5 linked regions of the Coturnix japonica genome follow. The protein of the gene in region 2 interacts with the protein of the main gene of each other region in a pairwise test. Links are inferred from orthologs where the notes say so. Each region holds a gene or a part of one and is shown on either strand. Other genes may lie near its edges. The genes, in order: ESR2, NRIP1, CEP70, CIB1 and RORB.

Region 1 (5,807 bases), on a different chromosome or scaffold from region 2:
GCCTCTGTAACTGTTGATTTAAATAACCCCCTGAAATGTCTTTGAGCTGTTGTTTCCCAGGAAACCATCGCTGTCGGTTTATTCTATTCAAACTTCCATGGGTATTTTACTAAAAGCACTTTTTAAATGATGAGGGTTTGGGTCTGGCAGATAATCTGCCGTTGGCTATGAGTTCTGTAGTAAATTCTTTGACAGTGTAATCCGTGAGGGAAAGCACAGCTTGTAGGCTCCTGTTTGCTCCTCTCAGAGTAAAGGAGTAAGGCTCTTGGTGTGAAAGGCAACGTTTTCAGCCATGCAAAGCCAGAGTACGCATTATCCAGCTTATGATAACCTAGGGATGTCTCCGACTGCCTTCCTGGACAGTACTTTATTAAGTTGAAAATGTATGGAATACATTAATATAAATCATTGGGAGCAGATTTCATGGCAGTGCAAATGTACAGCACACATCCCAAGTCAGAAGAGACCCTTAAGAACTATGGAGTTTAACTCCTTCTCCAAGGCTTTTCTTCTTGCATGTTATTGCAGAAGAAGGGGCAAGCAACAACTTTTTCCCTCTTCTGGCTGTGTTGCTACATTATCTGGCACTTGCTGGAAGTTCCAGAGAGAACTAAATGCTAGAAAAGGGCTTATGTCATATTGCATCAATTCTGTTCTTGCTTCTGGGGTGCTGCATGTGGAGGTGATGCAGACATTACTACCATCACAAACTACCCTTGTCTTTTCCTTGCTTTGATCAACAAGTGGCATTTAGAAATAAGGTGACAGCACAAGGTGACCATGATGTGGCTTATTTCATAGGTACTGAACAAACCCAAAAACATAGCTGCCTCCAGAGATCAAAACAAAACACCAAGTGACAACCCTGCAAACAGCAGCCTTATATGTTGTGGGAAAATAATGGTCTGTTTTCATAGGAGTCCTCCACAATACAATGTGATAAATCTTTAATAGATGTGAGTTTCCAGAGTGGGTCCTTGGTACCTTCAAGAAGTCTCCGGGACTGTCATCTAAAGAGGTGCCCACATGTAAGGCGGGTCTGCATTCACCTATGTGCTGATTGCACTTCAGCACTGTTCTGATTTATTTATTTTCCCTGAACACTTTCAAGGCAAGGCTGGGGAAGGCCCTGGGCAACCTGATTGAGCTGTGGTGTCACTGTTTGTTGCAGGGCAGTAGGACTAGATGGCCCTTAGAAGTCTCTTCCAACTCTAAGTTGGGTTCCATGGTTCTATCCTTTCAAATGTTTTGTGGAACGTGTGTCAATGATAACCACAGCTATTTATGTTCCCAACTGAGATGGCAGCAATGCATACTTTGGACTTCAGTGTCTCTTTTTCCATCTTTCTTCACAACCCACATTTCTTTTTTTCTTCTTTTTTTTTTTTTTTTGTATATTCAAGACATTTTTATAAAAACAGAGATGTAAACAAGTTGATTTATTTGACGCTGTTTTTATCATTTCAGGCTTCATTGATCTCAGTCTCTATGACCAAGTCAGGCTGTTGGAAAGCTGCTGGCTGGAAGTTTTAATGATTGGTTTAATGTGGAGATCGATCGACCATCCTGGGAAATTAATTTTCGCACCGGACCTTGTACTGGACAGGTAAGAGAAATCAGCTTCTTGAGAGCCCTTCAGTGAGTGTGTTTGGAGGGAGATGAATGGAGAAAGGAGGGGATGAAATATTGGAGATGATGTGAACGTTTAATTTAACAATACAATTCACTTGTATTTTAACAGTTCTATCTTGAGAATTCACACGCTGAGCATAAATAGTGCTTTTGAACTTGAGAGTTCCTGAATTCCACTACCACATAACAGTGTTGAGTTTCTCTGTATTTTTCACTGTTTTTGTAGGTTTTGATGCTTTTGGCCCAGGGCTCCAGATGCTAAAACTGTAGACATCAACACAATCTGCTCTGTTATCAAACAGCTTCCATTGGCCAATAGATTTTCTCCCTAACCCTTAAAAAAATAAAGAAGAAAAAGGAGTAGAGAAAGTTTCAGACTCTGTTTTAATTACTTAGAGTAGTTTATCTCAGATTTTTTCCTGTAGTTTCATATTTACATTAATGATCTTCGTAGCACTAGCCAAAAGGGATTTTAAAAAGTAATTTGGTGTTAAATACCAAAAGTTTTCTTCAAGCTTAAGTAGAGTGTTTGAAAGTTTAAAACTTATTTATCCATAGCTATGTACCAATAGGGAAGAATATGGATTAGTAAAGATGTTTTTCCACAGCAAGCTAGAACAATTTGATTTGGGTTTCTTGTTGGTAAAAAGTCAGAGAGAGAATCTGCTGTCTTGGCAAGGAGCAAAGTCTCTCCTAACCTTTTCAACCTGGGGAAATTCATATCTGCACCAATCTGGGCTTGAGCTAAATAATCACTGCCTTCATAGATTCAGAAAGTAAAATGGGTTAGTAAGAGAAATAAATTTGAATTACATAGGATTTGAAGTAAATTGTGGTTTTCTTATATAAAATTCAGTGTGAGGGCACGCTAGGTTATTCAATGCAATGATAAGAAATTGCTGAAGATGTATGATATGTTCAGTTCCTCAGGAGCTAATATGAGCTGAATGGAGATGGCTTGATAAATTCCTTCAACTCCATAAGACTTAACAGAGTGGGAGCTAGCAAGCATCTGTGCACCCTATATTACTTCTATGATACGCTCATGTGAACTCTAGCTCCATTACCCCCCACAGTCTTTGTAGACGTACTTCTCTGACGCTTGTGCCTTTGTCTTGATTCTGCCAGCTGCTGGTCCTCCTCCAAAACTTGAATTTCTTTGCCAAGAGAAGCCATGCAGTAATGAGGCAGCTGCCTTTCTGCAGGCCATACCTTCAGCTCCTGGGTGGTGTTGCCTGCCTCAGCCTGAGCACTCATCACCTTCCTCTGGTAGCAAGGAGTGCTCATGCACCACTGTCCTTAGGTGTGTCCCTAATAACACAGCAGGCAAAACTCTTGGCTTACAGGTGGTGTAAGAAGCATCTCTTTGAATACGGCGTCACAGAGCTTTACAGCTTTGTAATTCCAGTACCTTTAACAAAAAATCTGAAGCACTAACTTAAGTGGTTTAAAATTACCTCAGTTTTCATTTTAAGCCTATTGGAATGGCTTAAGGTGTAAGTATTTTTTCAGTTCATCCTCAGAACTAGAAACGTTCCTGTTTCTAATATCCAAAATGGAGGAGGTTACAATCACCATTCACTTGCAACCATAAACAAACAAAACCAGCCAGACAAAATCCAAAGCTATTCAAAAGTGAACACCTCCAACAGGTGGTTTGGATGGTTGTAGGAATTATCTTATTGTTCTGAGAAACTTAGTTTAGTCAGGTTTTCTTAATTATTAATACCTTAGTCCTCTGTCAGGTACAAACAGGGATGTCATAGGTTGTGGCATGAATTCCTTGTGAAAGCACTATGGAAAATGATTCAAGGAGGTGCCATGCTCTGCCCTGTAGAATGTAGTTTAAAGCTGATTATCAGAAATTATGCTGGTTGTGAGGTTAAAGCCTCTTTACAGAAATATGTCCATACTTACCTGTGGTCAATCCTGTAAGCACTTTAAACGCTTTACAGAGAAAATTAGTTTCTTAGAGGTGCTGACCTCTTATGCCATTGTAATTTTCCATTTAGATTTCCTGATAGAAGCTTTTGAATGCTCCCACAGACCAGACAGATAGGCTTCTTGCAGCATTCTTTTTGCTTTGGCTTTTATCTGGCTGAGTCAGAGTTCCTTAATTCTACTTTTTTGGTAACATTTTAAATGTTTCCATAGGGACGAGGGGAAATGCGTAGAGGGAATTTTGGAAATCTTTGATATGCTCCTGGCCATGACCTCGAGGTTCCGAGAGCTGAAACTGCAGCACAAGGAGTATCTGTGTGTCAAGGCAATGATCCTCCTCAATTCCAGTGAGTACACAATTGCCTCTGACACTCACCAAATTATACTTATTTCGACTGCGGCTGGGTAATCAGTGTCTAAAAATGACAGAAATATCAAATGAGATAAGGCAGAATTCAAAGGGAACGCTAAAAAGGGACTTCATGAAATCATAAGAGGGTTTTGCTCAAGAAACTTCTAAGCTATATTGTTTGGATTTAGGGTCTCTATCCTGCTCTAAAGAACTGCATGAATAAACCCAAATCTGAAAACCTGCTCACAAATTGGGGTTTGTGACCCAGGTGGTGGGTATGTCCTTTTCAAATCTAAACCCCAATGATCAGTCAGGAGTGCAGCTCAGAGTTCCATGGATCCTGGTCATGGATGATGCTGCTTCATGCCTATACAAGCCTGTTCTTTGCTCTAGTAACATTATTTAGTCAACTGAGTGGCAGTCAATTGTGCTGAAATATTTCTATTTAGTGATAAATAATTAGTAGAAGTGCTAGAAATAACTTAACAGTTCTGCAAGATGAATGTGAGGACGGCAAGCTTGCTTTGCAGCTTTCTACAGCCTATGGTAAAATCCTTCTATTCCCCAGGACGTTTTGTAAGGGCATAAGAAAAACAAGAAAAAACAACCGAAAACCATCTGTATGTAGAATAATGATACTGTTTACATCTATTGTTTTCAGATGAAGCTTCTGTGTAACTCTCAGCAAGGTTTCTGAAGGGGAATAGTCCAGCTGTTTTCTGACTTTGTTTGTAGAACAGAAGCCATTATTTCAACTGACAGCAAAACTCTTCCATTTATTTTTATTTAGCCAAAGGGGGAAAGAAATGCTCATTAGCCGTGGCTTTTCTTAAAAGCTTCACCTCTCAAAAAAACCCTTCTCCTCTCAAGGCTCTCCTTCCTTAGCAAGGTTTATCTGTTACTTCTGTTTTTCGGGGTGTTCTGGAGCTTTCTCCATCCATAAGCATCTTTGGGATTCTCTATCAAGAATACTAGCGAGAGTTTCCAGGCTTTCCTAGTGGCAGTTTCTTCTTTCTCCTCCCCACTCCCCTTTCTTCTGCTTTTGCTGACTTCTGAGGGGTCTCATGGTAGGCAGGTGCTGTCCTGTGGCACCATGGTGAGCTGTTGGGAGCCTACAGCGGTCAGTAAGAATAGCTGCTCTCCTCCTTCCCTTGGATTTACTTGGAGAAGAAAGGGGTTTCTTTTCAGCATGAACGAAACTAAAATGTATGGTGTAATGTGATTCAAAGGAAAAAGCCCTGGAGAATGGAGAACATGTCTGCTTCCCCACAGACAGAGAGCTCAGAGCTCAGTCTGACTGTGGAGTCTATGTTCAATGTGTTGTCTTGGGAGGATTTGGGAGAGTCAATCACTATGCAATCGATGCAGAAATCCAATTTGGATGAAGAAATACAAGCTGAAGCTTGGTGTGTTACATGCAGTGCTGTTTGCATTGTGTTGGGCTGTGTGAATGTGTGTCAGGAAATACAACTTTTCTTATCCTGTGAATTATTACATTGGAAGATGACCCATGGTCGTAGTTTTTTGTGCCTCACAAGCAGGATTTCTTTGTCTTCTCTGCTAGGCATGTTTCCCTTGTCAGCAGAAGAACCCGAAAGCAACAGGAAGCTGCACCACCTGCTCAATGTGGTCACAGATGCTCTGGTGTGGGTTATTGCAAAGAGTGGGATCCCTTCCCAGCAGCAAACAACTCGCCTGGCCAACCTGTTGATGCTGCTCTCCCATGTCAGACATGCAAGGTAAATCTTACAGGATGTGAGAGATATACCAGTTGTTTGTGTTTGCTTCTTAGAGTGACAGAGTCAGTCTAGAACTCCACAGTGCCCCTGAGGGATGCTCTTCATCTCTGTTTTGTAAGACTATCCTTCCTAGTATGGCTAAA
Region 2 (5,807 bases):
TTTTTTATCTGTTTACTTGCTTGTTTGAATAGTTTGTGGAACTTTCCTAAATGACTTGAAGTCTAGTAAGAACATCTTCATACAGGAGTGTATATAAGATGTTAGCATTGGGGCTGTGTAACTGTGGTTCTAATTCTAAACTTATTTCAGATCTGATATTTTTCTAACTTCTAGTTGCCTGTAGCTTTTGAATTAAAAAAAAAAAAAAAGCCTCTGAGAAATCAATCATAAAGCATTCGTTCACTTTCAAGATGCATGGCTTTCACCTTTATATGTCCTTTTGAAAACTTGTGTTTACGGATTTAAGTATGCTTTTAGTCTGTGAAAGAAAATTGCAGAGCTAGGTATGTTGAAGGGCACTTAGCTGTGTTCATATTGAGTATTTGTGCCTATGTAGTACTGAAAGAGAAAAGAAGTAGGTGTGTGTGGTATAATGATCTCAGTACTGAACTGTTAACTCTGTGAACTGTTCATGCTGTCGTTGACTAGTGTAAAACTAAGAGATACATCTAGTGTAAGAGCCACTGCGTTTTTTAAAACTACACGTTACAGCATACTGCCTCATCCAAGTAAGTATTGAGTAGAGGTGATCTACAAGAATGACTTCAAAAACAAAAAGACTTCAAAGAAGGGCCTGCTTTTTCACCACTTTACATCGAATACGTGGAAAGAATGTACAAGTAAATATCTTTCAATGAAGTTCTAGCAGGAATGTGTTAATAATTGCCTTTTCCTCCCTTCCTATTGCCTGACTCTTCAAATTACTTATGGTAGTTGGGAGTTGGAAGAACAGAAATGTGCTCGTATGTGTTGCTGCTTATTCAGGTGTTTGACAAATTCAACATGAACCTGAACGTTGACTTTTAGATGCATTTTTTTCCCTCATTAATTTTCTTTCAGAGTGATGCTGTTCATGCCTTGTGTGTTCACATGCTAACGTAAAAATATTGTTGGAACTGTGAGGTAGAATCCAGAGTAAATTTTTCTGAGCAATATTTAGATTTTTCTTTCATGGTTACTAGTTTTTAGTTGGAGTTTTATAGCAGAGAGATTCAGTGATCACTTCTAGTAGCTACTCTTAGGATAGTTCACTTTAGCTTAGATTTTACATAATGCTTTCTGTCTCAGAGTGATTTTCACAACGTTCTTCAGATTAGGTGCTGTAGACTCATTGCATTATTCAATCATTAATTTCTTCTAGAGTGTGATTAATGCTTGTACATCTTGGATCTCTCTAGAACTGTATGTGGAAAAAACATCTCTTATGCAGTTTATTTAGATTTTACCCAAATTCTTTTTCTTGACCACTGTTTTTTGGTTTTCTTTTTTTTTCCCCCACTTAGGTATTCTGTGTTCTTGATGGAGATGGAAAAAGATGAAAACCAAACTAACTTCCTGGAGAAAGCTGAAGAAAGCAAATATGTAATAGAACTTTACTGCCTTAGAAGTGTGTTTTGAGTGCTCTTCCTCGACATCCGTCGTAAATATTCTGTATCTCAACACAGGGACATGATTGGTTTTCAGTCAAGATACACTGGAAGAAACCTGCCTGGAATGTGACTGTGTTGCTTCTGAAAGTTTGTGAGAACACGCTATAGACATCTATCTATTATTTATTAACTCTGCATCTCGATTCAGCTGCAGCAAACTGGTCTTTGAAGTGAATAGAAACAGAGCCCTTTTGGATACTTTTATTGAACATGACTCATGGAGAAGAGCTTGGCTCTGAGATGCACCAGGATTCTGTTGTTCTAACTTACCTAGAAGGATTACTAATGCATCAAGCGGCAGGAGGCTCAGGTACTACAGTTGACAAAAAGTCTGCTGGGCATAGTGGAGAGGATCAAAACTTTAATATTTCTGGAAATATATTTCCCAGCTGTCAAAGTAATGGTCCAGTTCTTAACACAAGTACATATCAGGGATCTGGCATGTTGCACCTCAAAAAAGCAAGGCTGTTGCAGTCTTCTGAAGATTGGAATGCAGCGAAGAGAAGGCGGTTGTCTGATTCCATTGTGGATTTAGACGGAAAAAAGGAAGCTTTGTTAGCTGGCATGGTTGAAAATGTGCCTAAAGGCAAACAGGATAGCACATTACTTGCCTCTTTGCTTCAGTCATTCAGCTCTAGGCTTCAGAGTGTTGCTCTGTCACAGCAGATTAGACAGAGCCTTAAGGAGCAAGGCTATTCCCTTAGCCATGATTCTTTACAGGTGGAGAAAGATTTACGGTGCTATGGTGTTGCATCCAGTCACCTGAAGACTCTATTGAAGAAGAGCAAAGCAAAGGATCAGAAGTTGGACAACAGCTTGCCTGATATAACAAAGAACCTGCCCAAAGAGAGGTTTATAGAATCTCCTCATGCAGTGCAGAGCGGACCTAAAGTAGTAAATGAACCACTGTCATGTGCTGCAAGATTACAAGCTGTGGCAAGCATGGTAGAGAAACGATCTAGTCCTGCTGCTTCACCAAAGCCCAGTGTAGCATGCAGCCAACTAGCTTTACTACTTTCAAGTGAAGCTCACTTGCAGCAGTACTCCAGGGAACATGCTTTAAAAGCACAAAATGCAAATCAAATAGCAAGTGAGAGACTTGCAGCTATGGCCAGATTACAAGAAAGTGCTCAAAAAGATATTGGCCAGTTCAGTTTAGCAAAAGGAATGACAAGCCATCTCAATGGTCAAGCAGGATCATCAACCAAAATGGTATCTAGCAAAAGCAATATGGCACCGTTTCAGAGTTCGGTGGGAATCACACATTCACCACCCAAAAATGTTGGATTCAAAAGTACCTTGGAAAGGAATAATGTGAAAACCTCTCCCAGCAACAGTTTGCTCTTACATCTCCTGAAAAGCCAGAATACCACCAAACAATTAAAAGGCCATGAACAGAGTGAGAGAGCCAGCATTTTTGAAGAGAGTAGCACACCAACAACTATTGATGAGTATTCAGACAACAATCCTAGTTTTACAGATGACAGCAGCGATGACGAAAGTTCCCATTCTAACTGTCTTCCTATAGACTTATCTTTTAAACAGAGGACAGACAAACCAGACACAGGTCCACCGGCGTCACTGGATAACCTGACTCAGTCCTTGCTTCATAGCTGGGATCCAAAAGTTTCCTGTCCGGAGAGCAAGGAGGACAAAGACACTCCAAAAGCATCTAAGCTGAACCCCCATCAAAAAGTAACACTACTTCAGCTGTTACTTGGGCATAAGAGTGAAGAAAAGGTAGACAAAAGTAATGAGCCTCAGGGACCACACAGTGCTGCTGATGTGGCAAAATTCACTGTACAAACTGGTAAAAGGACTCCTGTTACTGACAGTCCCAATGCAAATCGAATGACTCCACTAAACACTCCACCTTTGCTTGCTTCTGCAAAAGCAGACTCTCCTATAAATCTCTCTCACCCATCATTAGCCATCAAGCGTAGCTCACCACCATATGCCTGCAGCATCCAGCCAGACAGGCTGGTGAATCCTGCATCTAAACATTTGATAGACCTTTCAAAAAGCAAAGAAATTCAAGGAGCTAAGCTGAGCCGAAACGACAGTCCACAAAACTCGTCAGCTTTCAGTGCCAGCAAGCTGTTGCAGAATCTTGCTCAGTGTGGTATGCAGACTTCCATGTCAAGTGAAGAACAAAGATCCGGCAAACATCTGCTGGTGGGGAACACAGATAAACCCGTAGGCTTGATTGATAGATTGAACAGCCCTCTGCTTACAAATAAATTAAGTACTCACGAAGAAAATAACAAAATATTAAGTTGTCATTCTGTACCCACTGAACAAGGACTTCCAGGTTCGGAAATAGAAAATCTCCTTGAAAGGCGAACTGTCCTTCAGCTGCTTCTGGGAACTCCCAATAAAGGTAAAAATGAAAAGAAAGAGAGGGTGCTTTTAAGAGATGAAAGTTCTCAGGAACACACAGATAAGGCTTTGAATGAGCAAATATTGACAGTGAAAATAAAAACTGAACCGTCTGAAGAATCAAATGTCCCTTATAATTCAAATGCACAACAAATAAGAGAGTGCAAGGGTAACAAATTTCAAGGATTTGTTCATTCGCTACAGAGAAACACAGCTGCTTCTCCAGCATCTGAGGAGATGAAGTCTGAGCCTCTTTCACCTCAAGATTTTTCTTTTTCCAAAAATGGCCTGCTAAGTAGATTGCTGAGACAGAATCAGGATAGTTACCCTGCAGATGAGGTGGACAGAAGTCATCAAAACAATGAGCTGGCACACCTGGAATCAAAGAGTCTTTGCACAGTACCGAAGAAAAGGAAGCTTCATGCTGAGCCTTTGGAAAGTCCGTTAAAAAAGATGAAAACTAATGTGTCTCATGCTGCAAACAATCACGTTTCTCCTACAGAGGCACTGTATGGGCCTTTGCTAAACCAGCAAGAACTGAAATTTGGCAGAAGTGATTCAGAATTTAAATATGCTGTAAGTCATGGTTCAAATAATGAAAGTGATAATAGGAGTTGGTCTAGAGATAGTAAAGGCTTTAACGTGTTGAAACAGCTGCTTCTCTCAGAAAACTGTGAGAGAGACCTGTCGCAACATAGGAATAACTTACTAACTGAGAGCAAGAAAAAAGGAAACAAAAGCAACTCAACAATTAATAAACCCGAATTCAGCATTTCTTCAGTAAATGCGTTAATGGGAAGTCCTGTGCAACAGAGCAATTGCGTAGATCACAGAACATTTCAGTATCCAGTAAAAAGTCCTGCCAGTTCCCCCTTCCCTGAACATTTGGGGAGACTTGAACCTGACCAGTTTAGTGTGTGCCCCATGCCCAGTGAGAAAGGTCCCATTAGATGGGTGATCACAGGTATGGACAAGAACGATTATGAAAAAGACTCTCCGAGACTGACCAAAACCAATCCAATCCTGTACTACATGTTACAGAAAGGCGGCAACTCTGTTAGTAGCCAAGAAGCACATGACAAAGAAATATGGAATGAACCATCGTTTACTGATAGTTCGACTCGTGTTACAATCAAAGAGGAGTTAACATCTGACGGAGAGCTTAAAACTCCTTTTAGTAACTTAAGAAGCCCTTACAACAGCCATGTGGGAAATAAGACCTCACATCAACATGGTGTGAACGGAGAAGTGCACGGACTTCTGGAAAAAGTGCTAACAATCAAAAAAGAGCCAGAATAAACTACAGCCTCACCAAGGAGTTTACAATCTGTGCTTTTGAGTGTTTGTTTAAAAAAAAAAAAAAAGAAAAAAGAAAAAAAGAAAAAGAAAAAAACAAGCATTAAAAAAAAAAAGAGTACGAACTTGACTACTGTATAAATTGAGCATGATTTTAGAAAAGCATGGTCTAACTGAAACATGTTTTCATTTGATAAACTTTTTATTTTTATGGTGATGTTATTTAAAATACATGTAGATAAAATTTGCTTTACTGTAGACTGTCACAAGGAAATTAGAAAGGTTGTAATTTGTACAAGACATTTCTGTATGCATCAAATTAAGTTATGAGTACTCTTTGATCAGAGTCTTATTTGGAATTGCAAGTCTTTGGTATAACATAAAGTGTAAGCGTACAGCCTAGGTGGTGGTAATGCTGCGTTTCCTCCCTCTCCTGTAAAGTAACCCTTATTTTTTTTTGGAAGCCTGAGCACAGAGACGGTGTACTTTTCTTGGAATGTTTAATATGCTTTGTGAAATTTTATGAATAACTTTAAAGAAATGGAGCAGTCCGTCCAAGGCATTAATTCATCACGCTGGAAAAACCCATGTCAGTGTTAATAATTGACCTGCACTGAAATGTAATTTTTAGTGCTTCCAAAA
Region 3 (5,682 bases), on a different chromosome or scaffold from region 2:
TACGTGCATTACTTTTACTTTTCTTCTACTTAGTTTCTTTTTATATCTTTGAATCTATGACATGCTGAGTGCCTCTATAAAAGTCATAGATGGTAACTTACCAGAAATAGTTATGATTTAAATGATTGTGACTGGTGGTGAGGGAATTTATAATAAAAAGCTTAGTTTGAGTAATAACTTTTTCTATCTATTATTGAAGGTGCTGTCCAATATCGACTCTATTATACGAAGTCCAAGAGCTCCTCCATTAATATACAGGCGCAGCAAAGGGCCAGTGCAAAATTATATTAAAGAGAATGGACAGGAATGTGGATTTGAGCACCTCCCACTCACTATAGAAATGTGGGCAGACCAGCTGGTGGCCCTAAAGGTAACGCACTCTCACACTTAGCTTTGTATCCCTCTTTTAATCTGTTGAAAACCTCACGGTGCTTCTTTATCCAGTGTTCTTGTGCTTTAGTTTGTATTGTTGTCTGACCTGGTGTTAAATGGACAAGATATTTAAGCAGTTACTACAATGAGCTGTCCCCCCTCTGTTTTAAAAGGATTTGCACAGGTCACTGAGAAAACTGTCTCTGGAATTGGTACCCTGGCACACTGCGGATCCACAAGATAACACAGAATCCATACGGGTTCAAGACCTTCAGTTCATAGTAGATGCAGTTTTAGAAGAAATAGAAAACAAGGAAAAGGTAATTCTTCACACGATTAGACTTCTGCATTTCAAAGCCTTTTGGGGCTTAAGAAATAGCTGTGGGAAGAGGTCCAATTCTCCAAGATTACTTTCACATAATGGATAAATTCACCCCGGGGAAGACTGCTTTAATCAAGGTCATTTGACCAACCATGAATTTGCCTTACCCTGTAGTGCTGGGTATTATCCTGTTCCATCTTTTTCTCAGTCAGCATTCAGAATACCTAAACAGACTTAATAAACATCAGAAAACAAAGCTTCCAAAAGAATATTGTTTTCATAAGAGTATTTTTGGCTTGCTGGATATCTCTCTTGAGATTTAAGAATATTCAAAATGCCTCAATTTAATAAGGGAAGTTACACCTGTTTTAATTTGTGGACTAGTTTTAAGAACATCTCGTGGTTAAAAGAAGCAACAACTTAGTAAAGTTACCCTTTCTGCTTCCTGCAGAACAGCCAGACACCATCCTTACCAACACTGTATGCAATAGTCTCTCACTTCCAGAAGCTGTTTGATGTGAATTCTCTGAATGGCATTTACCCACGAATGAATGAGGTGTACACAAAACTTGGGGAACTGACCAATGCTATGAGAAATCTCCATGAGCTCCTGGAACTAGGTAAAGACTCATCACCTACCACTTGTTCAGGCTATTTCCAAAGGAAAAGCTTTGTTTTATGAGCACTTACTTACTAATTCTCCTTTATCAATTGAAACATAAGGTTTTTTGTTTGTTTTAAATTGTTTTGGAATAACAAACTTTGCTCTAGATTTCTTCTCAGTAACTCATTCCAGGGTAAGCATGTTCAGTCCTTAAGAACACCCCTTTACAATCCTAAATGTTTACTTGTTCTTTTAAGTATTGAATGTCAAGAACTAAGTGCCACCAGTAGTCACTTCCAGGTGCCTATTCATTCTCTTCTGGTTTTGCACTTCTGAAGAACAGCAGCTGCTAATCTTCCCTGAGTTCATGGGTTTAGAGGCTTGGCTGTGCTGCAGGGTGTACAGCCAGAGGGCAAGGCTCCTAAACTACTGAAGCCTTCTGAAGTCTCATTCAAAGAGGGAAGCAGACTTCCTGCCTGCCACCACCAACAGGAAATGAAGAAGCTTCTCATCCCCTTGTAATTACAAAGCAATGGAGTTCAGTGGACACCTTCTCACAATTAGTTCATCTGAAACTGAGTGAGGAAAGGAAAAGAACCTGGTATTTTTACCTTTCATCATAGTAGCCAAAGCAGGTTAAAACAAGCAAACAGAGCAAGTTCTTGCTACTAACAAAATATCAGGAAACAGTTCCCTCTATGATACATGAAAGTTCAATAGAATCTGGGCACCTGCAAGAACTGAATTATGTCTTCTTTTCCTGTTATTACTCTTACCAGAAACATGAAGTTGTGTTTTCCAGATAGTTCAGCTCCACCCACCATGGTGGTGGATACAGTTGGGAAACTGTGTGACATAATTAACGAGAATGTGACTGAACAACTACGGCGGCTCCTGGGGACACAAGACATCCACAGGTATTTAGTTCTGTTCCACTGGCAACAGTTCTGCAAACAGAAATCTTATGAACTGACAGAGTTGCCTAAAATTGATACTGGAGGAGACTTCTGTCCTTTGCTACAGTGCTGTGACAGTAAAGGATTTACTACTATCCTACATGGAACAAGTCTTGAACACTTTCTAAAGGGTATTTCTGGTAAATAGAAAAAAATAAGGTTCCCTTAGCACTACCTTGTTGATTTGCATGGATACAGTGATCAAAAAAGCCTCTTAAGCTTATGTTTCATAAGGAGACATAGCAAGTGCTGTATGTTGGTGGGGATGCGAAACTACTTCAAGGTTGCGACTGTAATATTGAAATGTATTAGCTGCTGAGAGAACGTACACCTCAAGCTTCCTGAAAATCTTTCGAGAGCTGGACAAATCATCAACAAATGAGAACACAGAGGTGGTAGCAAGTTGTAAGAGCTTGCATTCAGAATGTGCTGTACAAGTGTACAAAGAGATTAACTGCAGCAGTAAATTTGTAACAGGCAAAGTGAACAACGGTGACACCATCAACCTTTCAGTGCTCCATGCAGTTTTAACTATAGACAAGCTGCTTATAATGTTCTTGCCTCCACCTCTAGCTCTTATACTACCTGGGTTGCTGATATATTTAGCATATACAGGCTGCTGCTCCAGACCAAAAATTACACAGCACTGTATAAGGAGGAAAATATATTGGGCAGAAACAGTGAAATCAAAAATAATCTGACTTTTAACAATTGTTGGCTTCAGGTTTCAGTACATGAGGATGCGTTTTTGGTGCAGGTGTATTTGTATATACTAAGTAACAGTAGTTTCAGAAAGCAGTGACACTGTATGGCAAAAAAGCCAAGAAAACGAACTTAATATGTTCTTATAGTTTTGCAGTAACGGTCTTACTTTCAAATCTCAGTATCATCAATAAGCTAGAAGAACATGAATGCTTCTTTCCACCGTTTCAAGCCCTCATTCAAGATTTGCTCTCTCTTCTAGGTGAGTAACATTTCCATGCTGTAATTATCTCCATGGCAGAGCTCCCTCCCAGGCTGTTAAATAGCTAACACACTTTGTTTACTCCTGGTGTGCAAAAAAACACAAGGAAATTGTGAGAAAAGGTGCTAAGCCTTACCTTGCTCTGCTAAGAAAGCTACTGAAATAATGAAGTTTTCATTGAAAAATGGGGTCATTTACATTCAACCATAAAACTTATAAGCTAAAATAACGTTTTTCTTCCCCCAAAAGCATGAAGAGGTTTGAGGAGTTTATTCTCTGCAGTAGTTTTTTTGCTCACTGGCCGTATTTCTAACACTTAAGCTAGAATTATGATTGAACTTTAAAGTGTTTTATATACAACTCATACAATTCTGCTTTTCATTCTGTTTCAGAGATCAATAACCTGGATGATATTTTACCTACTGTACGAAAGCTGAAATTGGTAGCTAGTTAAGGGATAGTTTGATCTATCCTGGGAAGACTTAACCTGTGAGGCAGCCTTGTTGGTTCACATGTCATTACAGCTACCTCTAACCTCTGTTACTAATGAACAGTTTCAGACTTTTTAATATAAATAAAAGTTTGGCTTTGCCACTTCATTCTTTTAGTTTCTCTGCATTCTTACACTGACCACGAAACAAGAAAAATAACCACAATAACCTGTTCTGTCCTGGAGAGAGGACCAATACATACCGTACTGATATAGGAAACTGAAGCCAACACAAAAGCAAAGACCACAAAGGCACTTACCTTTCTGAATGTAGCTCATCAGCAGGTATGAGATGACGTTGCTCAGAGTGCCCTATAGATGTAATACTTTCATCATTACCTTGGTCGTCTTGAGAGCCTATTTTAAAATGCTGTTTAGATCTTCAGCTAGGTTTATTTTTTTTTTGGTTATGGATTGAAACACACCACATTAATGTAATCTAGGCTGAACACATTTTAAGCCTACATCAGAACATGGTTTACAGCTTTTTGCCTAGAAGGGATTTGAAGTTACCACGCTTATATTCTACCATCACTTTTAGAAGGGCATAGATAAAGTTCCTTAAGCAAGACATGTCAGAGTTTATTGTAAACAAACAAGTACACCAAGCTTCCAAAAATATTTTGGTATATTTCGCTCCAATATTAATAAAGCTTAGTCCAAAACTCTGCTGTTCCTCAGGCAGAATGATTTACTATCAAGGCTTATGAGATGCTGAAATGTTGTAACAAAGAACAGAACATGTTAAGGCATTACAAACTAAAACCTTAATGACATCCTGGCAAACGAATCTCCCTGCTTTTGGAAGCTCATCATATGCAGACCTGCAGCCACAATCTGCTTAAATGCTTTTCAGAAGCAGAATATCAATGTCTTTGTTTCTCAAGAACTGCTATTAGTCTTACAGTTGATTTGAATGAGTCCTGTAGCCTTACAGATGAAAGTCGCTGTTTAAAAATGGATTCTTTTAGAAGAGTAATGCTTTCAGATATCTTTAAAACAACACAAATAGGCTCTTAGGGAAACGAAACTGAGAAGAAAGTGATCACACATAGCTGGCCATCTAAAAATATCTCCAGGTCCAACACTTCCTTAAGAGCGCATTCATATGTAAGGATTCTTGGGGAGGAGATGCACCATCAGGAATAAATGATTTGTTATCTAGAGAGAAATTATTTCCCCAGTTTTACTTCACTGAGAACTCCTGTCAGTAGGATCATTCCGTGCACACGTCCTGAGCAGCAGATGGCTTCAAGTTTGCAGTGAATGTTTCAAAACACTTCCATTAGAAAAGAGGTATATACAGTCAATACAAAGTTTAAAGTTAGTAACTTATGTACACGAGAAGAAATCAATTTTTCTTGCGTCTACTTCTTGTCAGCTCGTACCTGCAAGACAGATACAGGAAGTAGTTTAAGACTTGGTTTAAAGAAGAGCTTCAAGTATCACAACAGAGAACTTGGGCTGCTTTATTGCTTTTTTATTGTGCTTTGTAGGCAGGAGGATGGTGAAGGAGGCTTTAGAGATGGCCTCAAACTTCAGCCCTTTACCAGGAACTCTGGATGAGTCATTTTTCTCCTGCTGCCATAATTGCTATATACTTCCATGAGACACACAGAAGCTGGGCATGGGGAACTTGGTTTCCCTACACTGCTGACCACACTAGTGGGAAGCTGCTGTGCTACACTCACTGCATTCCTCCACCTCCTTCACTGAAGGATGAAGGAAGAATGACTGCCATTAACCCGAGACTGGGAAGGGGAAACAAAAAGAAATGCTTCTTAATCTTTGCCTCAGACCAATACTTAAGGTTGACATCTGAACCACAATGAACGTACAAGCACAACTGTGAGTGGTTTATTAAAATAGCTTCTAAAAATGCTTTGTAATTAACTGTTTATCATATGTATATATTGCTGATCAGAGTATTCATTTAGTTAAGATCTTTATCCAAGTTATTTGTTGCAAATTTAC
Region 4 (6,329 bases), on a different chromosome or scaffold from region 2:
TGCTGCGTATCTCATGTCCCCAACGTGCGTGTGCAGAAACGTCTGTGGTTTTTACCTAAAGTCCAGGTGTTTCCTTTGTACATGTGTGTGCTGCTGCGCCTGCAAGTGTGGGACCAGGGCCCCTTCCCAGAGCTGGGCACATCCCGTTGGCTGGCTCCTGTGGGCCAGGCATGCACGGCCGTGTGCGGGGTGGGTGTGATGGTGCATGGGGCTGTGTGTGTGGCTGTGCCAGCATGCAGATCCAGAACAGCATCCCTGCGACCCCAGCGTAGGGTTTGCAGTGCTCTGCTGCTCTGAGGCCCCGCTTGAATGATGTAGAGAAGCAGCTCTAGAGCACAGTGCTGCTTATCTGCCTCGTGCCTGGGAAGCAGCAAGCTCTGCACCAAGGCAGCGTGCTGGGGCAGGATGCCGTGGGACCCGCACTGCCTCGCTCCTGCCAGGACAGTGTTCCCCACTTCCTGCCCAGCCTGTTCTGGGACATCAAAAAAGCCACCGGAGGCGTCGGCTGGTGCCGTGCCAGCAGACATGGCCCCGCAGGCTGCAGCAGGCAGATAAGCATCATCACTGCAGGGCAGCGAGCTGGAAGGGCCTGCACTGCTGGGAGCAAGCAGCCGGGACGTGAGAAACAGCTGCAAGCTGGGGCTGGGGATCCAGCAGCACCGGGCACTGCAGCCATCTCAGCATGGTGCTGTTAGGGAATGCTGCGGGCTCCCTGCACAGAGCGTTCCCAGATGGCAGCCAGCCAGCACCAGGCCCGCTGGATGAACAGACACAAAGGGCCCTTGCGCTGCCCACAGCAAAGGTACAGCTTGCTTGCCCTGGATTTCCTTTTGTGCCTCCTGTTAGAGAGCAGAGCTCTTTGTGCAGTGCCTGCTAAGCACGCTGGGAACGGCCTCTGGTTCTCCCAAGGAGGGGGGGATCATGCAGCAAGCTGCTTCCCCAGCAGGACTAGGAGCTGCCTCCCTGCTGAACTGGGACCCCGTTCCCAAGAGCTGCAGCTGGCTCAGGGCAGGGGGCTGGCGGGGGGCCACATCCCCAGCACCCTCTTGGCAGTTGATGCTGCAGCGCTCACACCCCGCTCCTCCCCCCCGCGCGAGACAAAGGCCACTGGCAGCAGGACCAGGTTGGGGGTGAAACCAGAGCCCTTTATTTGTCCTCTCCAGCGCACAAAGGAAGGGGGCCAGGCCCTGCCTGCTCCAGGCAAAGCACTGGCTGAGCATGAGCCTAAGGCAGAGAGGAAAGAACTGGAAAGTGAGAACAGACCCTGAGTGTATTGGTGCTGGAGCAAGGAGCACAGCCCCCACGCCCCAGGGCAGCAAAGGGACAGCACTGCTGGGATGGCACATCCAAAGTTCAATTGGGTTATTGCTTGGAGGAACTGCTCCCCAGGGTGCAGGAAAGCCCCGTGGAAGAGCAGCAGAAGGCACATATGGTACTGTGGGTGGTGAGAGGGGCTGTGCTCGATGCAGTGCGGCATCTCTGTGCCTGCCCTGACACACCGCAGAGCTGTGCTTGTGTGGGGTGAAAATGTGCTGCTGGGACAGCCAAGCTGCTGCCTGCGGTGGAGCCTCACGGGGCCGTTTGGACACCTGTAACTGAGCCCACCAGGCACTGGGGGAGCAGAGTCCTGCCCTAGAGCACAGTGCGGCACTGCCAGGCTGGGGAGGAGCAGGGCCTTGGCTGCTCTCCTCAGAAGAAGAGGGAACATCTGAGATAACAAAGAGACGCGGCAGCTGGAGAAGCAGATCTGCAGGAGAGCCACAGGGCCCTCACAGGACAATCTTGAAGGAGCTGTAAGAGACACGACATGTTCTGCACCTCCTTGCTGCATGAGAAGTGGTTTGTGAGCAACCAGCACTCTGTGGATGTGCTGTGCTCCTGCATAGGTGAGTACAGTGCAGGAGGAAGTTCCTGTGGGAACTTCTAAGGGGTGGCCTTGCCTTGCTGCTCTGGTAAGTGCTGCCTCAAAGCCAGCACAGCAGCAGGGTGGGCTGACCCCTGGGGCCCCTTGAGCTGCTGGAAGCCACGTACCTGACAAAGTCTGGGGAGCGGGAGATGACGTGCTGGAACTCAGAGAGGTTGATGGTCCCATCCTTGTCTATGTCAGACTCCTCCAGGACCTGCAGGACAGGCAGTGAGCAGTGAGCTCACCAGGGCTGGGACCATGCAGCGCTCCCTGCCCAGCTCGGGTCCTCACATTACGGATGAGCTGCTCCATCTCAGTGTTACTCAGCCGTGACTCCTCGCCTTGCCCTGTCAGGCAGTTCACCAGCTTCTCCAGGTCCTTTCTGTCCAGGACCCCATCATCGTCAAAGTCTTTGGGCAGAAGAAAGTACCTTTCTGTGGGGCCCCCGTGACTCAGGTCACAGGCACCCACGCTGGGAGGGGGCTGGGACAACACGTGGGCACGGCAGCTCCAAGTACAGAGGGTGCCCCCAAAGCTGCCCCGTGGGCACAATGAAGGCACTGCCAGCCCTTGTCGCCTGTCCCCCGCCATTGGGTGGGATCCCAGGACACCACATCACACCCAGGGTTACCAAAGATGCGGAAGGCGTAGTGGGATTTGATATCTGAGGTGGCAGCATCACTGAAGACGCTCAGCATGTCGAGGAAGTCTTCGAAGGACATGCTGTCATCCCTGTCCAGGGACGTGGAGAACACGTGGCAGATCCGGTGCTGGAAGGGGTTTGCCTGCAGAGATGGGGAGGGCTCAGTGCAGGGCGGGCACTGACCCACGAGGAGCTGAGCAGAGCTGAGCTCTGATCTCGGCCCAGCACAGCCCTGCCATCACACGGGGCTGTGCCATCACACGGGGCTGTGCCACCACACGGGGCTGTGCCATCACACGGGGCTGTGCCACCCACGGGGCTGTGCCATCACACGGGGCTGTGCCATCACACGGGGCTGTGCCACCACACGGGGCTGTGTGGCTGCATTGCACAGGGCCGAGGAAGCAATCCCCGGTGCTGCACGGTGAGCACGGAGCGCTCCCAGCACGGTTTGTGCTCAGCAGGTGATCCTGCCCAGCCCCCCTCCAGGTACCGTACCCGCAGCTCCGGCAGCGTCAGGATCCGGCTCTTGGGAACGCGCACGGAGCGGGCGTTGTCCCTCTGCTCCCTGGGCAGCAGCTCACTGAACCTCTTGTAGGCACTTGAGGTGAAAACAAGGGCTGCTCTGTGCGGGAGCGGGCGGCCCCCGGCAGCACCGGCAGGTCCGGAGCCTCTGTCTCTGTCTCTGTCTGAGGTGAAAACAAGGGCTGCTCTGTGCGGGAGCGGGCGGCCCCCGGCAGCACCGGCAGGTCCGGAGCCTCTGTCTCTGTCTCTGTCTCTGTCTCTGTCTCTGTCTCTGTCTCTCTCGGACCGGGAGCCGCACCCGCGCACTTCGCACCCCGGGGTCACGGAAACGGCCCGTCCCGGCGCTGCCCGCCCACCCCCCAACGGGGAGCAGCTGCCAGCGCTGAGCCCCCCCCGCCAAGCCCCGGCACTTACAGCAGGATCTCCTGCTTGTTCAGGAACGTCAGCTCCTGCGGGGAGAGCGCGGTCAGACGGGGGGACCCCGAGGGGAGCTGCTCCGCCCCGGACTCCTCCCGTTCCCCGGGTCCCACCGATCCGGGAGCTGCCCCAGACACGGGACCGCAGATTCCCCATCCCTCGGTCACCCCCCTCGGACCTCCGACAACGGGGCTCCCCCCAACCTGGGACTCCAGCCCCAATACCTCGTACCCCCCCACACCTGGTACTCCCCCAGCGCCTCCCGTGGCAGCAAACTGCTGGAGCCCCCCATGTCGCCGGCGCCGCTTCCGCCCCGCACGTCACTCCGCCGCTCCCGTGGCAACGTCCCGCCCCGGGGTGGGAACACGCTGCACGCAGCGCCGCCCCCGGCCCCGCGCGGCACCGCTGGGAGCGGAGGTGGGTGGTGTGACGGGGTGTAATGGGGTGTAATGGGGTGTAATGGGGTGTAATGGGGTGGGGGATCGTCGGGACCCGGGGCCGGGGCACAGCGAGCGCGGCGGGACGGACGCTGGGGGCGGAGGGCGGCGCTGGGGGCGGCGGTCAAGTCGTGCACGCGTTCCGTTTTGTCAGGTCCCAGGCGGCACCGGGCATGGCAGTGCGGGACAGCGGGCACCGGGACGGGCTCGGAGCCGAGGAGTTCGTGTACCACGAGGATGAGTTCATCCTGGACGGCGTGGCGTGGCCGAGCACGGCGCTGTCCCGCTTCGACCGGGCGCTGCTGGAGGCCTGGCAGGAGCGCGAGGAGCGGGGCCTGTTCCGGTACCGGCTGCGGGAGCCGCCCACCCGCGTGCTGCCCGGCCCCATGCGCCTGCTGGCCCAGCTCAACGTGCAGCGCGCCACGTTGCGCCGCCGGCCGCAGGAGGTTCGCAGCGTGACGGAGCCGTTCAGCGCCCGGCACTTCAACTTCACGCAGATCCAGCCCGGGGAGCTGCTGCTGCGGCTGCGCCGGGGAACATCGACACACGGAGACCGAGCGGCCCCGGCCGAGCTGCTGGTGGCGATTAACGTCAGCCCGCTGCTGCGCGGCCACGTGCTGCTGCTGCCGGAGCCGGGGCTGTTCCTGCCGCAGCGCCTCACCCCGGAGCTGCTGCTGGCGGGGCTGCAGCTCGTGCTGCTCAGCGCCCGGCCCGGCTTCCGCGTGGGCTTCAACAGCCTGGGCGCCTCGGCGTCCGTCAACCACCTGCACCTGCACGGCCTGGACCTGCCGCACCCGCTGCTGGTGGAGTCGGCTCCGGCCGAGCCGCTCCGTGACCGTCTCCATGTGCTGTGGCGGGTCCCGGCCCCGGCGCTGCTGTTCTACACCCCGGGCGCGGGGCTGGACGCGCTGGACGCTCTGGCCCGTGACGCGTGTCGGGTGTCGGAGCGGCTGCTGGCGCTGGGCCTGGCCTACAACGTGTTCGTGACGCGGGGCGCCCCGCCGGACGGCTCGGCCGGGCCCGGTCCCGGTTCGGGGCTGCGGCTGCTGCTGTGGCCCCGCAGGCCGAACTTCGAGCCCGAGGCGGATGACGCGGTGCTGGCCGTGGCGCTGTGTGAGCTGGCCGGGTTCCTCCCGCTGCGCTCGGCCGCGGCCTTCGAGCGACTGAGCGAGGCCGAAGCGCTGCGCGCCATCCGACAGCCCCTGCTGCCGGAACCGGAAATGCGCCGCCTCGCCGCCGACCTGGCGCGGCTGCTGGAGGACTGAGCGCCGCTCTAGCCGACCAATGGCGAACGCGGACACGTGACCGGCCCGGCGCCGCTCTAGCCGGCCGGGCCGAGCTCTCTATGGTCGAGCGGAGACCGCTGCCTCGTCGCCATGGGAACGGCGGCGGGCTCGAGCGGCGCCATGGAGGCCGGGGGCGGCGGGCGGGGGGCGGCAGCTCGGAGCGGATCCGCTGCCCCCGGGATGGAGCCCAGAGCTGCCGCCTGCAGCCCCAGAGCGCGGAAGAAACGCAAGAAGTGCAGGCGAGTGCGGCGGGGGGGGCGGCCCGTGTCCGTCCGTGTCCGTCCGTGTATCCGCCCGCGTGTGCCCGGTGCGGGCCGTGCCGCACATAAAGCCCGGCCGTGTGCGCAGCGCCGTCATGTGTCTGTTGTGGGTCCGGGGCCTCGTGCCCGGGGGTGGCCGGGACTGTAACCAACGGAACCGGGATCCGACGGGGCTCAGAGCACGAGGGGGATGGAAATAAATAACACCGAGGGTGGAAATAACCCCGAGGGTGGGGCAGCCCCCAGAGCACGGACACGGGCTCGGGACCCACTTGGCACGTGGCCCATGGCAGTGGGTCACACTGGGCAGTGACACTGCGGGGTTTGGGTAACACGAGTGTGGCACGAGGCAGCTGTTCGTGTCCGCTCCCCTTTGTCGCCGTCTGGTCTCACTGAGCAGCTCTTGTGTCTTTCAATTCCAGCGCCCCATCCATTAACCTGACCAGCTGCAGGTACGAGAGCGGTAAGTCGCAGGATGCGTCGCGTCCCTTTGGATCGAGCCGTGCAGGCGGCTGCTCAGCCAGCAAGGAGCGCTGCATTTCTGCTGCAGAGTCACTTGTGTGTTACGTGTTTGTAAGTGACTTGAATCCCTGTGAACATTCTACACTTTGGGCTGAGGAGCTTCATGCTTTAAAGAGACCCAAACTGTGCAGCACTGCGAGCCCTCATCACCCTGTACATCTGTATGACCCACATTCCTGCTAAAATTGGTGAGAAGAGTTTTGCCAGAGATGGTTACAATGCACGACCTGTGCTTAGGGAAATGGAAAGCTACCATCAGTTCAAGCTGAAGCAGGTGGTGCAGCAGGCTGGATCAGTGCCTGCAGTATCTCTTTGATATTCACCTCCAATGAC
Region 5 (5,807 bases), on a different chromosome or scaffold from region 2:
ATTGATCTAATACTTTAATATTTGAATAAAAGTTACAGGAGAAAAACATTTGGAGCAGAAAAGGAACATCTTGACTCTATATCCAGCTTCCACAGTGCACTGAGGGGTACAGTCTCCTGTAGATGTGATCAGGCTTAATTCTGACCCTTGTGTGTGCCTCAAGGAGAGACAATACCCTTAGCTCTATGTGGGGACCACTTATTGAGATAAAGAGCTTTTCTTCCAATTAGAGCAGTTTAAAATCTATGAGTTTTGTGCCAGTTTTGCAGTATCGCATCAATTAGTCTAATGCTGTTTTGCAAGCTTCTTGTGAAAAAAAGATGTCCAGCCTTCACATCAGGCCCAGTGGAGGCCATCTCCCTCTGCGTGAGCTCTCTCTTCATTTAAGCACTGTCTCAGGTAGTGCAACACTGCTCCTCTTTGCCCAGCAGTTAAATAAATCTTTGTTCATCCCATATACTAATAACTTGTCATTTCTAGCTCCTTTTGTCTGAATGCATTAGAAATCTGAACTAATTAAGAGGAAGAGTATTACAAAGTAGGCCAGAAGGGCTTTCACAAGACCGCGCACATTAAGCCAAGCACCAGAGGGCCTCAGCGTTTTGGGGAATGGCATTGGAGGATTGCACTCCCGCTGGCAATGCTACAGACTTTCTCTGTCCTTTCACTCTCTGTCTATGCATTAGTTCTGCCACTGCAAATGCATATCGTAAGAGCTTAAGGGGCATTGTAAATGCTACAGCAGTTACATACTGCACACCTGCATAGGCTGAGCAGTGTGCTGGGCCCACTAAAGAAAATGGTGGCTCTGCCAGCAGTCACCAAGGAAAGAACAAAACTGAAAGACATGTTTCCATCCCAGTGTCTCTGTGACCCCTTTTGGTGAGAGGTCTCTTGTAATCCACAGCGCAGCAAGGATCTAGAGGACAGTTTAAGAGGCCATTCCCTTCTCAGACTGCCAGTGATGGATAAAGTGAACTGTTTAAGATGCAGAAAGACTTCTAGTCGGTTCTGAGAACACTGGAAGACTTGTCTTTCTGTATGTCCTTTAACTCCTCAGTAATGACTTGTGTCCCGCTTCTCCAGAACAGCATTATTCCCAGTAAATATAACTAATGTTATGTAAAAATCTTCCAACATGAAATGAAAGGTTTCTCAGTAAGAAAGCACTTAGATCTTTGCTGAAAGAACAGAGCACAAAAGTCTCCTTGGAGAAATAAATTACCTGCTGTAGATTAACTTCATTATGTAATCCTTGATTTTTCCCTAAGAGGAGCAGTGACTGAAAAAAACAAATTCTTGTAAGAGATCGAAGTTAGTGGGGAAAAAAATACAAACAAATTCTTGTGAGAGGAGATCAGCCTTAATAGATAAAAACAGTACTATGTGATAAGGCATAGTTGATGCTAGGTGGTTGTGTGGGTTATTTTAACATAATTTAACTCATTTGTTCTCTCGAATCCATATCACATAAGAGCTGCTAAAATCTAAAGCAGAAAATGTTCCTCACGTCAAAAACAAAATTGGCTGTAAGGTTCAACAAACAGATAAGAAATATCTGCAATTGTCATCCATCTAGCAGTAACATTAAGCTCATCTCCACTGCTAAAAAAATGTTTGGTCAACTAGGATCAGGTAAGTCCACAATGAACTTTTCCTGAGAGCTTCCCTAAAGGATATCCATGCTCTTAACCATGCAAATCATAAACCTTAATTTAATAGTCACTGCACAGTGTAATCACTGATAAAGCCAGCATGGGCCAGATGAATTAAGCTTCTTTGGGATCATCGATTTCAGGAACTATCACTGCTGTCTCTTCAGTGGAACATCATGCTTATTGCACTCTTACTGACATCTCGTGCCACCCTAATTTGATTTTCAGGGACTGAAGAGGGATTACAGGTGCTACCTGTAGCATGGAAATCAAGCCCTGTGACAACATCACCCTGTTGTTTTCCCACTCCTTCCCCCAGAAACCCACAGGAGTTGTAAATCCCATCCCTTATTAGTATCTTCTGTCAGCCTGAACGAAGATAACAATGGTTTTGCCTGATGAGTGCAGTCAGCGCTTCTTTTCTGACTCCACTGAGAGCTGTTTACAAACCAACACGGAAAGTCACAAGCACTTTGGTGTCACTTCTGCCAGTGACTAGTTTAAGTACAGTAATGATGCTTTCCCTTCATAGTTTCTTGCAGCGGTTGTGCTATCCTTCATCTCTCCCACCAAACAGCCATGCAATTACTTTCTTCTAAAGCTGCTAAGTTTGCCAATTAAATTATTTTCTTTGTTTTTTCTCCCTCACTCTCAACTCACTGATCCTCTCATGCTTTATTTTACAGGAAAGAAAAGAGAATTATAAAATGCTTTCTCCCTGGTTTCATCTTTCTTTTAATTTCTGCCACTTCATTTCATTTCTACAGAAATAGTACCTCTTAGTGCTGTTTGTAGTGTTTAGGAGCTCATAAATCATTACATGTTCTCACCCTCAAAAATTTAGCAAATAGGCCAGCAACAGGCCAGACAAACCCTCCAGGATATAGAGTGTTGAACTATTTTTGATAGATTAAATGGTTAATGTTATATTCCATTGATATGGAAAATATCTGTACTTTCTCATGGTAGTGTCTAAAGGTGTTGCTTTCTCCTTTGTGTGTCAGATGTACCTGATACAGCCATTAAATCCTAGTGCTTTTGTAATGTTTGAATTTGAATTACTTTTCACTCCCAAAGTGTATGGGCTCTCCAGATCAGATCAACATTTGCCAGATTAAATTTAACAGCAGACTTCAGCTTCTAATCCTATGTATAGCCAGTGCCGGATGTTAGAAGTTTCTTTCAATAGATGGAAAATAGTCAGAAAAAGTACTTTAATGTTATCTGTTTACCAATGCTGACAAGCTTTTCATCTGTGAGGTGCAAGAATTAGATGATCCATGGTAGTTATTACATAATAGGAATATATTCTGTAACTCTTTATTGTTTGTCCTTTAGCAAAGTAGTGTTAGATTCTTTACTGAACAATTACAAATCCTCCTTATGAGCAGTAAATGCTCTTTAATTTCACTGTACAAGGCTAGTGCATCTGCAAAGTCCTAGCAAAAAATAACATTATGCTACATGAGAGCTTGCATGGCTGTGTATGTGTGCATGTGTGTGTGTGCATGTGTGTGTGCACATACCCACATGGTAATACTCCTTCTCTCTTCCTTGTCGCCCCTAGGGATTCTTTCGGAGGAGTCAGCAGAACAATGCCTCCTACTCCTGCCCAAGGCAGAGAAACTGTTTAATTGACAGAACCAACAGAAATCGTTGCCAACACTGCCGACTGCAGAAATGTCTTGCCCTGGGAATGTCTAGAGATGGTAAGGAGTCAGATTCCTGCTTTATGCCTAAACATTTGAAATTCTTCTTCTCTGCTGACTTACTTAAACTCCCTGTAGATTTCTAGAAAAAGAGAGAGGAGAAGCTCCTTGCTTTGTAACGTACACACTGTGAGACACAGATCTTAACAGTGGAAGCTATTTTCATGAAGAGGGTGGGAAGATAGCAAAATGGAAAACAATGTTAGGTTAGAAGGGAAATAGTTGGATAGGAACTGCATTGTTCTGCTCAAAATCACGAAAGTTATCTATGGAGAGAAGGATTTGTATTCCAGTTTAGACAACTTTTTATATTAACAACATTGGTTATACTGGTTATACACACCACAATACTGGTGTGAGGAAGCATCCCTTTCCTTGTGATCTCTAAAGATCTGTGACTGTGAATAGGCAGTTTAAAAAAAAGAGTACACCTTGATAATATTAAGGTTTTTCAGCTGTTTATTTTATTCAGAACACTTGACCAAGCATTTTGCCTTGTGAAAAAAAGCATTTAATTGGTGCACTGCCTCCTGTCCATGCCTGGATCTACAAGAGAAACATTTCATTGCTAATGCAATGGCTGTCCAGCTCACTGTCACATTTGAAATGGTCAGTGAGTACGAGAAGAGAATGTTCTGTCCTTGAAGGCAGCTTACATTTGCTTCAGTAAGGCTATATTAGCTTTGATTACGTGACAGCATTTGTTCATAAAACTTGTTCTTTGGAATTAACAGGCACTGATGAAGTTACTTTAAGACCTATTTCATAAGATAGTTCAGACTTTATAATTTTGCTTTATATCTATAATAGTTCTTTTCCTACCTCACTATGTTTCATGTCTCACTGAAACAACTTGCTCATCTGTCTCAGCAGACTGAGAGGACCCTGCTGTCTCACCTTTAATTCATGGAGTCCTTTTGGGTCTAGCATGCAGTATACTTTCACACCATAGCTATTGCTTCTTCCTGGAGAGCACTGTAGGAAAATTTCAGTAATTTAACAGCATGTACTTTCCCAATAAAAGTAATACCGTCCAAGTATTTGAGATATCACAGAAGTATTTAACACATGACATTGTCTTCCCAACCTATAATGCAGGGACTGCTGTGTACAAAGAGGGATTCTTTTGTTGGCATCTCTTTCTTCTCTCATTGTGGATGTGAGAGTGTTTATACTTAATCATATGGAGAGTTCTTGCAAGTTTAAAATAGCCTGCATGGATCTTTTTTGACAGAAAAACTGGATGTGAATTTTACCTTTCAGCCATGTAACAGATTCATTTTTATCATGCAGAGGCAGGATGCTAATTGACAGCAGCTGGAGAATCCAATTAATGAATACATAATGAGAGTAAACTGTGGGTATTTGTTTTTACGGAGACCCTACATTTGAAGAAAACACGCAGTTGTACTTCTCAAAATCTAGTCATTATATATTGTCCATAACAGTGTGCAATGCACAGTGGGCTGGTTGCAGAGCAGCCAGTGTCTATGTGAAGTAAACTCAGTCTGTGCGGAGGTCTGCAAGTAAGCTGGTACTGGTAACAAGAAAAATAAATTGAAAAGGCTACCATCTCCTGAATTTTATGCCATTTCCTTCTAATAGAGTTCTCTTTCTCTGTGTTTCATTGTTACTGTTAGGGTATTTTTTGCTATTAAAAAAAATAAATATATATATGTATTTTATGAGCATCTGTAGGCTCAGAATCTTCTGGAGGTCTATAACTGAAATGGAGCCAAAATGGAAACCAAGCCACTAATAAGAGTGATGATCTCCATTACAGGTGGACGGGAAGTAGCATTTGAAAATAGTCCTCATAATATGTAAAATAAGTATTTCCAAAGAAATGTCCTCCTATCTGTTCTCTGATAAATTCTGCTGAATGTATCCTAATTGACGGATCTCATTTGTCTTAAAGCATGATTAATAGCTTCCTGTTCTCTGACATCTCAATATCTAGGCCAGTAAAAAGCCAGAATTTAAAGAGAGAGAGAGAAAATAAAGAGCAGATAATTATCAATGACCACTGTGTATATAGGCTATGTTTACTCCTTGTAGTTCCTTAGCAATCAGACCGTCATTTTCGAAAATTTCAATCTCAGTGTAGTGAGCCCTATTCCTGGGGACAGTAGTTTGCATTCTGATGTTTTCCTGCCCTTCTCATTAGAAGGAATGCATGAATTTTGTGCATGGAGATTATGTAAATTGAGTGTGTAAATCCCTGAGACTTTTCTCTGTGAAAAAGACAACAGTCATTTGTTCTGTTTACCTTCCAATCTGCTATTTTCCTCTAGGTTCTAAATCTAACCTGCAAGATTTTTATTTTTGAAGTGTGAAGATAACACCCCATTGAAAGAATGTGATAATGGGGCTGTAGGGCTTGTTTTCAACCAGAGTACTAATCCTGTTAGCGCACAGTTTAGAGGTTTGTGGAAAGTTGGTA

What was found.
Region 1: the proteins of NRIP1 (region 2) and ESR2 interact in a two-hybrid assay, tested with the Homo sapiens proteins (2 studies listed by BioGRID, with this or other methods). The link is inferred for Coturnix japonica from reciprocal best matches to the Homo sapiens genes NRIP1 and ESR2.
Region 3: the proteins of NRIP1 (region 2) and CEP70 interact in binary tests that used the Homo sapiens proteins (3 or more experiments, as listed by UniProt). The link is inferred for Coturnix japonica from reciprocal best matches to the Homo sapiens genes NRIP1 and CEP70.
Region 4: the proteins of NRIP1 (region 2) and CIB1 interact in a two-hybrid assay, tested with the Homo sapiens proteins (2 studies listed by BioGRID and IntAct). The link is inferred for Coturnix japonica from reciprocal best matches to the Homo sapiens genes NRIP1 and CIB1.
Region 5: the proteins of NRIP1 (region 2) and RORB interact in a two-hybrid assay, tested with the Homo sapiens proteins (2 studies listed by BioGRID). The link is inferred for Coturnix japonica from reciprocal best matches to the Homo sapiens genes NRIP1 and RORB.

Annotation. Positions count from the first base shown.
Region 1 is NC_029520.1:48,234,489-48,240,295, forward strand, and holds part of ESR2 (estrogen receptor beta), read left to right. Parts: intron 1-1,467; coding exon 1,468-1,606; intron 1,607-3,786; coding exon 3,787-3,920; intron 3,921-5,489; coding exon 5,490-5,664; intron 5,665-5,807.
Region 2 is NC_029516.1:88,407,204-88,413,010, reverse strand, and holds part of NRIP1 (nuclear receptor-interacting protein 1), read left to right. Parts: intron 1-1,343; 5' UTR 1,344-1,700; coding exon 1,701-5,168; 3' UTR 5,169-5,807. UniProt on the Homo sapiens protein: Modulates transcriptional activation by steroid receptors such as NR3C1, NR3C2 and ESR1. Also modulates transcriptional repression by nuclear hormone receptors.
Region 3 is NC_029522.1:18,778,022-18,783,703, reverse strand, and holds the end of CEP70 (centrosomal protein of 70 kDa), read left to right. Parts: intron 1-199; coding exon 200-370; intron 371-545; coding exon 546-692; intron 693-1,145; coding exon 1,146-1,314; intron 1,315-2,100; coding exon 2,101-2,215; intron 2,216-3,105; coding exon 3,106-3,218; intron 3,219-3,610; coding exon 3,611-3,672; 3' UTR 3,673-3,817; downstream 3,818-5,682. Other genes in the region: ESYT3 (extended synaptotagmin-3), read right to left, coding at 5,060-5,096.
Region 4 is NC_029525.1:18,187,393-18,193,721, forward strand, and holds CIB1 (calcium and integrin-binding protein 1), read right to left. Parts: upstream 3,864-6,329; 5' UTR 3,784-3,863; coding exon 3,733-3,783; intron 3,524-3,732; coding exon 3,489-3,523; intron 3,151-3,488; coding exon 3,048-3,150; intron 2,692-3,047; coding exon 2,538-2,691; intron 2,317-2,537; coding exon 2,198-2,316; intron 2,121-2,197; coding exon 2,032-2,120; intron 1,792-2,031; coding exon of another isoform or gene 1,770-1,791; exon of another isoform or gene 1,436-1,769; coding exon 1,363-1,435; 3' UTR 1,125-1,362; downstream 1-1,124. Other genes in the region: GDPGP1 (GDP-D-glucose phosphorylase 1), read left to right, coding at 4,102-5,193; tubulin polyglutamylase TTLL6, read left to right, coding at 5,305-5,453, 5,897-5,937. UniProt on the Homo sapiens protein: Calcium-binding protein that plays a role in the regulation of numerous cellular processes, such as cell differentiation, cell division, cell proliferation, cell migration, thrombosis, angiogenesis, cardiac hypertrophy and apoptosis.
Region 5 is NC_029547.1:32,940,158-32,945,964, forward strand, and holds part of RORB (nuclear receptor ROR-beta), read left to right. Parts: intron 1-3,222; coding exon 3,223-3,364; intron 3,365-5,807. UniProt on the Homo sapiens protein: Nuclear receptor that binds DNA as a monomer to ROR response elements (RORE) containing a single core motif half-site 5'-AGGTCA-3' preceded by a short A-T-rich sequence.